Linked DNA regions of Canis lupus familiaris. The protein of the gene in region 1 interacts with the protein of each later gene in a biochemical or structural test. Links are inferred from orthologs where the notes say so. Each region holds a gene or a part of one and is shown in the gene's direction. Other genes may lie near its edges.

Region 1 (4,430 bases):
GATGGTCTCTCTCCTAGGGTTATCGTGGTTGCAAAACGAACTGATACCTTGTAGAAATGTAGTGTTTTCTGTGACAGCTAATGAATTTAAAAGAAAAAGACATCCAGAATGATCAAAGACTTTCTGTTCAGAGGGTGGATGTCATTTGCTTTTTATGTTTTCTATTGGTTCAGGACTCCTGCTCCTTAAATATTATATTGAATTTGCTGTTTACTGTGAGAATTATTTCGAATTGCGTCCTAGGTCTTTCATTTTAGCTGGTGACAGGCAACAGAAATGCCCCGTGTTGACCTCTCTAGGTTAAGAGGTCTGATAGCAAGCACATATCCAACACCCACTGTCCCTGACTTCAAAAGGCAGCCCTGTTTTGCAATCCTGCAGGCTCAAAACCTTACACCCAATTCTAACTTCTCTCCCTAACCCCCATATCAGATTCATAATCAAGTCTCATTCCTTCTTTCATTGTAATGCCTCTTAGGTCCAATTCTTCTCAATATCCATCCACCTTTTCCATTCTCACTACCCCTCACCCCTGTTTTCCCTTTCAATAGCCCTCTGATGACCTCCCAATGAATGCCAAATTAATGATCAACCCATTACTTAGGACACCAGCTACATGCCTTATCGCCCTTTGTCAGGAACTCTCAATAGCTGTTCTCTGAGCGTTAAGAGCGAGTTCAAATTCCTAGGTTTGGTATTAAGGCTTTCCTCCCAACAGCCCTCGTTCCACATTCTCAACTGGGAGATTGTGTCTTGAATCCGCTCACAGCTCCAGTTTCCAGAACGTCCCTTCCCCAGCCTCCTGATGACTTTTCCATCCCCTTCCAGAAGCCGTGGTTCGAGTCCCGGGTCCCCCTCGGAAGTTCTCCTTGGCCAATTATTCCAGCCCTAATGTCATTTTATCACTTGGGGGCCCCGCCCCACCAAACACCGGATTATCATATACACTCGTGACTGTGTCTCCGAGGGTGGGACCCCCCGTCTGGCCGAACTTCCACCTCACTCAATGACGCTGAAAATCTGGATGGATGAGTAGATGAACGCGTCGGGTCCAGTCCCCTCTCCCTGATTTCCTGCACCTACCTGCCCCCTCTTCCTGCCAGAGTCCCACCCAGCGAGTCCGACCTGGACGCCGCCGAGCAGCGCCGGGGTGGACTGTGCTCCTGAAGGCGGAGCGTTTCCACGCAGCCCGCCCTCCGACTGGGCCCGGACCCCAGGCCCGGGGCGCGAAGCCGCGCGCTCGGCTCTCCCGCGGCCCCCGCGCTCCTGCCCCCGCGGGGTCCAGGGCGACGCGCCAGGACCGCGGGGGTGGGCCGAGCCCCTCCCCCGGGGGTGGGCCGAGCCCCTCCCCCCTCCCCCCCCTCCCCCCCTCCCCCGCCCATTGGGCGGCCTCGGCGGCGCGTCCGGCCCCGGGCGGGCGGGCCCTCCCCCTCCCCCTCCCCACCCCCACCTCCCCTGGTCCTCCTCCGCTATTTCCCGGGGAGGGAACCTCGGGAGGCGGGTGCAGGGGCAGCCGAGGGGCGTCCGGTTACGTCTCCGCCCTCCCCGGCCTCGTCCGCCGAGCCGCTAGGTTTGCGGGACGCCAGTTCGGGACCATGTCGGCCGCGAGGCGCCGGGGCGAGACTGCGTGGACGCGGGCGCTGCTGCTGCAGCTGCTGCTGGTGGGGCCCGGGGGCTGCCTGAGCCGCCAGGAGCTCTTCCCGTTCGGTCCGGGACACGGGGACCTGCAGCTGGAGCCCGGGGACGACCGTGTCTCCCCAGCCCTGGAGCTGAGGCGGGCGCTCCGCTTCTTCGACAAATCCGACATCGATTCGGTCTACGTGAGTGCGAGTCGGGGGGCCGGCGGGGGCTGTAGCGGCGGAGGGCGTGGGGCCGAGCCGGCGGCGGACGGAGGCGGGGGCCGGCGGGGGCGCCCGCGGGGCTGGCCGGACGAGGGCGTCCTGGGCGGGGACGGGGACCCCCGGCCGGGCCACTGCAGCAGGAGGGGTGCGGGCCGGGGTGCTCCGCGCGCGCCCCGCCGGCCCCGGGGAGCCCCAGCACCCCGAGGCCCCCGGCACCCCTGGCACCCCGAGGCCCCCAGCACCCCGAGGCCCCTGACACCCCCGGGACCCCGGCACCCCGAGGACCCCCAGCACCCCGAGGCCCCCGGCACCCCCGGGACCCGGCACCCCGAGGCCCCAGCATCCCGAGGCCCCCGGCACCCCGAGGCCCCCGGCACCCCGAGGCCCCCAGCACCCCGAGGCCCCAGCACCCCGAGGCCCCCAGCACCCCGAGGCCCCCGGCACCCCCGGGACCCCGGCACCCCGAGGACCCCCAGCACCCCGAGGCCCCCGGCACCCCCGGGACCCCGGCACCCCGAGGCCCCCGGCACCCCGAGGCCCCTGACACCCCCGGGACCCCGGCACCCCGAGGCCCCCAGCACCCCGAGGCCCCTGACACCCCCGGGACCCCGGCACCCCGAGGCCGCCGGCACCCCCGGGACCCCGGCACCCCGAGGCCCCAGCACCCCGAGGCCCCCGGCACCCCGAGGCCCCCGGCACCCCCGGGACCCCGGGACCGCGGGAGGCGTCCCCCCCGCCCCCCCCCCCCCCCCCCCCCCCCCGGCAGCTGGTCCCGCTATGGACCCGTCCCTTGGGCCCGCGAGCCGGGCGGGCGGGCAGGTCCGGGCGGGCAGGTCCGGGCCGCGCTCGGGGCAGAGCAGCCCGTCACAGCCGCGCGGGGCCCGGGATTTCGCCGACAGCCGGCGCCTGGGTGCGGGCTCCGGGTGTGTCTCGGCCGTGAGTCCGCTCTCCGGCCGGGCGCTCGTTTCGGGCCAGAATTTAGCGCTGGGAAGGCAGGGCGACCTGGCGATCCAGTTCCTGTGGCGGAGCAGGGTCACCACGGGGGCCCCGCGGGGAGCGGGCCCGGGGGCGTCAGCCCTGGAGCCTTCTCCGGATGGGCCGGGCCTGGGGCGCTGTCAGCTTGTCGGTCCTTCCGTGCCGCCGCCTTCCCCAGCCGCGCACCATGTGGGTTTCATATAAAGCAGAGCGCATTCCAGAGTGGGGGTGGGGGGAGGACGCGACAGCAACCGCGGCTGCAGCCTGTCCTGCCTGTGAAGTGCCTGTGCCCGTCCGCGCGGGCCGACCGCGCCTCGGCGACCCCACGTGCAGCTCGCCGGCTTTGCCTGAGAGGACTGAGTCCCTGCAGTCTCTACCCTCGGACAGGGTCGCCCTAGTGAGCTGACTGCCCTGACCCCCCGGGCAGTCTGATGAAGCCTGTAACACCCCCTCGTGGAATATTTTTAATCACAAAAACCAAAATCTGCAGGATTGCCCAGGAAATCAATCATGTTGAAATCCAGATAAAAATATTAAAAGTAAGGGCACCTGGGTGGCTCAGTGGTTCAGCCTCTGCCTTTGGCTCAAGTCCTGATCCCAGGCTCATGGGATCGAGTCCCGCATCCGGCTCCCCTCAGGGAGCCTGCTTCTCCTTCTGCCTATGTCAATGCTTCTTTCTCTGTGTCTTTCATGAATAAATACGTTTTTTAAAAAAAAACCAAAGAATTAAAACAAAAACTGTCTGAAGTAACATATGTGCTTATCTTTACCCATTATTAAATAGTAAGGTGTAACCGTGAGTCCAGTGGGAGGTGGTAGTCAGATAATTACTGAATTTTCAAGATCAGGAGGACAGTAAACAACATTTGAAGACAGGTGCTGCGAGACTAAAATGTGGTGTGAGAATACCTGTGATTTTCTATTTGTGGCAAGGTTATTAAGAGTTACCACTAGGCTTTGTTGCCTGCATTCATAATGACAGGAAATACTACATACCAGCCAGAGGTTATTGAAAATAAAAATGAAATTTCTTTTTTCCCTCTTAACAGACCCACTGAATTCTTTTGTTAAATTTGGGACCTCCTCCTCACCTTTATTTGTGGCATTAGACTAACCACATTACATTCTAAAAACTTTGAAAATTTCTTGATAAAAAAAAGGATTTTACGATTGGGAAAAAATTAAAAAATATAAAAAAGGATTTTGGTCAAACCATACCTTCCAGGTCTATGTGGGTTTCTTTCTTTCTTTTTTTTTTTTTTTTTAAGATTTTATTTATTTATTCATGAGAGACAAGAGAGGCAGAGACATAGGCAGAGGGAGAAGCAGGCTCCCTGGGGAGAGCCCGACGTGGGACTTGATCCTAGGACCCCAGGATCAAGCCCTGAGCCAAAGGCAGATGCTCTACCACTGAGCCACCCAAGTGCCCCTCTACTTGGGTTTCATCTGCACTTCAATGAGAAAGAATCCCAGAGCTCTGTTGGATGTTATATCTGCCACTGGCTGGGCTCTTAGGAAGCTGAGTCTGAATGGAGATTAGCAGGCAGGTTATTTCTTTGGGTTGAGTGCCTTACCTACAGAAGGGAAGGAGGTGCTGACAGGCTGAGCAGAGGC
Region 2 (4,359 bases), on another chromosome or scaffold:
GGTGCCAGATGTGGTGGTGGACCCTGGGCTGCAGCAATGAACAAGACACGCAGGTAAGAGGGGCGGAAGTACACAAGCAAACAGACACATGGACAAGATCAACTCAAGTGGACATGAACGCCACCAAGAAAATGGCCACAAAAGCCACTTTGATTTATCCAACATTTTCCACGATGATGTGGATGGAAGCTCTACAAAAAAATACACTCCTCAGGTGGTCAGATGAGAAGGGTGAGAATCGGGACCCACACAATCCGGAGTGCAGCAAAATGGGATTTACTGGTAGCAAGTTGTCAAGATCTGGAAATCAGGTTCCCCAAACTAATTACACTGACTCACAGTGTCAGAGTCCGCAAGTCAAGGACAGCACGGCCTGTCACTCATTCATTCAACAAACTTTGAGGGGGTGCTAATAGTGCTAGATATTGTCCTAAGCAGTGAAATTAAAACAAAAGAACACATAGGCCTGTCCTTGTGGGGCTCACATTTGGGCGGGAGGACGGACAATGAATAAGATGAACAAGTAAATGTGTGAGTGAGGGTAGGGATGAGCACTAATGAGCGGAGAAAGGGGGTTAGTGAGCATGTGTTTGAGGAGGCATTCTGTACTTTTCGGTAGGGTGCCTGGTGTCACTGATGCCCTGGGAAGCAGACTGATGAGGACATTAGTGCACAGGGGTTACTCAGGCTGGGCGGTTGGGATCAGTATGTGTGGAAGGAGGGGGAGAAGACAGGATTGGGCAGGGGGAGAAGCTGAGCTGTGACAAGGCCCGACAAAGACATCAGCCAGCCCCACATGGAGCTCGGGACATGGACGAGCCTTCAGAAACGTCTAAAATTAGGCCTTTATACTTTGTGTGGATCAGCTGTTGGACAAGCCTGCCCCTGGAAGGAGACGTGGCCTTCCTCAGCTGAGGCAATTCTCGAAGGGGGCAAGAGCAGCCAGGGATCAGGTCTTCCATTCCTGAAGAGGAACCTGGGCCATGCATCCCAGTGTCCACTATGCCAGGGAAAGCTTTGGCGAGGAGGAGATGTAGAAATGAGAAGCTGAGGGCATGAGGGCCAAAGCCTCTCCAGACAGAGGGGACATCAGATGCAAAGGTCCTGGGGAGGGACAACGCTTGGGAGTTCTAGGAGGCTAGTGTGGCTGGAGCTGAGTCAGTGTAGGAGTGGGGGGAAAGGGAGAAGGGAGGAGCCTACAGGCCTTTGCAAGGATTTTAATGTTCCCTGGGAGTAAGACTGGTGATTTGGAGGATTTTGAGCATGGTGCAATTTGACTTGCATGTGGAGACAACTCTGGCTGCTGCGGTAAGACTGGTGTGTGGGAAGGAAACAGAGATGAAGCAGAGGACAGGAGGGGAGCCCACAGGAATTATCCAAGTGGGGGTGATGGTGGCCTGGAGCCAGATAATGCTGCAGACATGGGGAAGGTTATCTGCTTCTTTTTATTTTTTTTTTAAGATTTTATTTATTTACCCATGAGAGACACACAGAGAAAGGCAGCGACACAGGCAGAGACCTGCTCTCCATCCTGAATTGGAGAAAAGCCTGCTTGCTTGGCTGGTCCAGGCAGGGGTCCATGCAGGATCCCGTCACTCCTGGATCCATTGACTACCAGGCAAGAATGGGCTCCGGGGCTTGCCCCACAGCTGGCAGCATCCCAGATGACTTGAGGCTCTTGGGGCCCAGTTCTCTCTCCTGGGCTGCAAGTTGGCAGGCTAAGGGGTAGGTCCTGGGGTCAGGGGGTCACGGAGCTGTGTGGTCACAGAAGCATCACTGGGGAAGAGAGAGGTTTTCCTGATCTTGACTCAGTCCCGCCAGGCAAGCAAGCCCCAGAAGGGGGACAGAATTCAATCAGACTCCTGATTCCTTCCATATGGAAGCGTGCATGAGACGGGGTGGGGAGGTGTCCCCACTGACATAGGAAGGCATCGGTGTTTGGTTAGGGGTTTCCTCGGTGCAGAATTAGCTACACTAGCCCGTTTTCTTTCTTTCTTTCTTTAAGATTTTATTTATATATTTATTTATTTATTTATTTATTTATTTATTTATTTATTTATTTATGAGACACACACACACACACACAGAGAGGCAGAGACACAGGCAGAGGGAGAAGCAGGCTCCATGCAGGGAGCCCCATGTGGGACTCGATCCCGTGTCTCCAGGATCACTCCCAGAGCTGAAGGCAGACTCTCAACTGCTGAGCCACCCAGCATCCCCATAGCCGGATTTCTTTTGCTTCTCTCCAGGGCTCCCTGAGCCATGCCTGGCTCGTCCACAATTGCACTGGGGCCCCAGAGGGTCCTGGGGGTTCCCGGGGCTGAGGCCCTCCCCCGTCAGCCTGCACACCCTGGGGGAGCTGGATGGAGACACCTGTTGTGTGACAGGACCCCTGTGAAGTCATGGGGTCCAGTGTGGAGACCTGGGGCCTGTGGGAAGACAAAGGTGCACACTGCTGTCCCTTGGATGCGGGTTCAGGCTCTGTCATTTCACGTGACTTCACACAAGTGGCTTTATCTCTGCGAGGCTCAGTTTCCCCAGCTGCAAAATGGGATCATAGCACTGACCTATCTGTCAGAGTTGCCAAGAGGAGTAAGCGGATGAATGTCCCTGGAGGCGTCATCCCACCACCTGTGGCTTATCATTGGCACACAGAAGCAGTCGGAAACTGTGGGTACGTGGGCTGCAGAGTCACATTCCTGGGGCTCAAATAGCAGCTCTGCCTCTTGCAACCCATGTGCCCTTGGAAAAATGACCTTCCAAGGCCCGTTTCCACATCTATAAAATAGAGATAATAAGCATATCATTGGCCCAGAATTGTGGGAACTAAAAGAGATGGGTCACTAAAGTGCTTGGCACATAGGATAAACGTCATAAATGTTAGCTATTATTATGTAAGGATATACTTGACTAGTGTCTCTCTCTCTCTCTCTCTCAAATAAAAATAAATAAATCTTTGAAAAAGAGGATGGGAAGGCGCCTGGGTGGCTCGGTTGGTTAAGTGTCAGACTCTTGGTTTCAGCTCAGGTCATGATCTCAGGGTCCTGGGATCGAGCCCCACGCTGGGCTCCACGCTCAGGAGGGGGTCTGCTTGAGAGTCTCTCCTACTGCCCCTCCCCCAGCTCTTGCACTCGCTCTCACTCTCTCCCTAAAATAAAAATAAATCCTTAAAAATACGCTGGGGGATATCCAGGGTTCGTGAGCGAGCGCTATACCAGTAATGTATAACGTATAATGAAAGGGCCCAAATCATTGAATATTATAGATTTTGACCAAGGCAAGGAGAAAGTTCTCCATCCAATTTCAAAACTCTGTAAACACTTTTCCATCTCTGTCTCAGAGAAGCCACCTCTCCTTTTAAGAAGCCCTTGAAACCTTTGGAAGGAAATGTCAAATGAGAAAAACTAGCTTGTCCTGACTTGTGAGGCTCAGTTGTTCCTTTTCTCGGTCAGCAGGTCCTCAGGGAGTACTGTCCGTGTGCCTGGCTGGGGACGCCAAGAGACAATGCCCAGGCCCTTGTCCCTACGGGACTCACCGTCGAGGGGCCTCCGGGTACAAGCTCAGACAGACCGGCTGAAATTTCCCGAGTGGCTGGCTGTCTTCCACGCAGAATCTCACCGAAAATGGCCATTCTGGAGGCGTGATCCAACAACCATTTCTTGGAATCGTAAATGTCTGAGGGTTGCTGCAAGACTCTCGATTATCTTGTTTTCTTCACCCATCAGAGCCAAGATTCTAATGCTACATCTGTGTGAGTATCTTTCGGTAATAAGAACCAAATGTTGTCGGTGGGAATGACTGGAAATTACACTGAGGATCAGAATGTGGGGTTTTAGATTCGCTCTTGGAAGGCAGTGCTGAGAAACAAACACACAAGACGTTTTCCCTATAAATCACCTCAGGATGTTGCAATACTCGGGTCTCCTGCCTCCTCCTGTCTCCAGGCATCCGGAAGACTGGGGTGAGGCGCCTTGGGGGAAGGTGTCCCCCAGCTGGTAGGAAATGTCCTGGAGTGCAAATAAAACCTCTAGCCCCCACTTCTGCTCTGAGCTTCTTTTTCTGCTACTAGAAATCTCCACTCAGATGTCCCATAGGCACCTCAGACTCAGTGTGTCCGAACTGGATCATCATTCCCCCCAGATCTGCTCTTCTATCTGCCAATCCCACGTTGGAGAAAGGCACCCGCTGGTCCTGGTCCTGGGCAGGAGATCTAGGACTCTCTCCTGATCTGCCCCTCCACCACCCATGTCACATCCACGTCAACCAAGCGCCGGTCCCCTCTTCTCCATCCCCTTGGCTCCTGTCCTGGTGTGTGTGTGTGTGGGTCATCTTGCAGAATCTGGACCATTACATCAGCCT

Evidence for each region.
Region 2: the proteins of NID1 (region 1) and FBLN1 form a complex in vitro, tested with the Homo sapiens proteins (3 studies listed by BioGRID). The link is inferred for Canis lupus familiaris from reciprocal best matches to the Homo sapiens genes NID1 and FBLN1.

What each region holds. Positions count from the first base shown.
Region 1 is NC_049225.1:4,305,370-4,309,799, forward strand, and holds the start of NID1 (nidogen-1), read left to right. Parts: upstream 1-1,468; 5' UTR 1,469-1,595; coding exon 1,596-1,820; intron 1,821-4,430. UniProt on the Homo sapiens protein: Sulfated glycoprotein widely distributed in basement membranes and tightly associated with laminin. Also binds to collagen IV and perlecan. It probably has a role in cell-extracellular matrix interactions.
Region 2 is NC_049231.1:21,559,089-21,563,447, reverse strand, and holds the start of FBLN1 (fibulin-1), read left to right. Parts: upstream 1-1,267; 5' UTR 1,268-1,282; coding exon 1,283-1,308; intron 1,309-3,452; coding exon 3,453-3,751; intron 3,752-4,359. UniProt on the Homo sapiens protein: Incorporated into fibronectin-containing matrix fibers. May play a role in cell adhesion and migration along protein fibers within the extracellular matrix (ECM).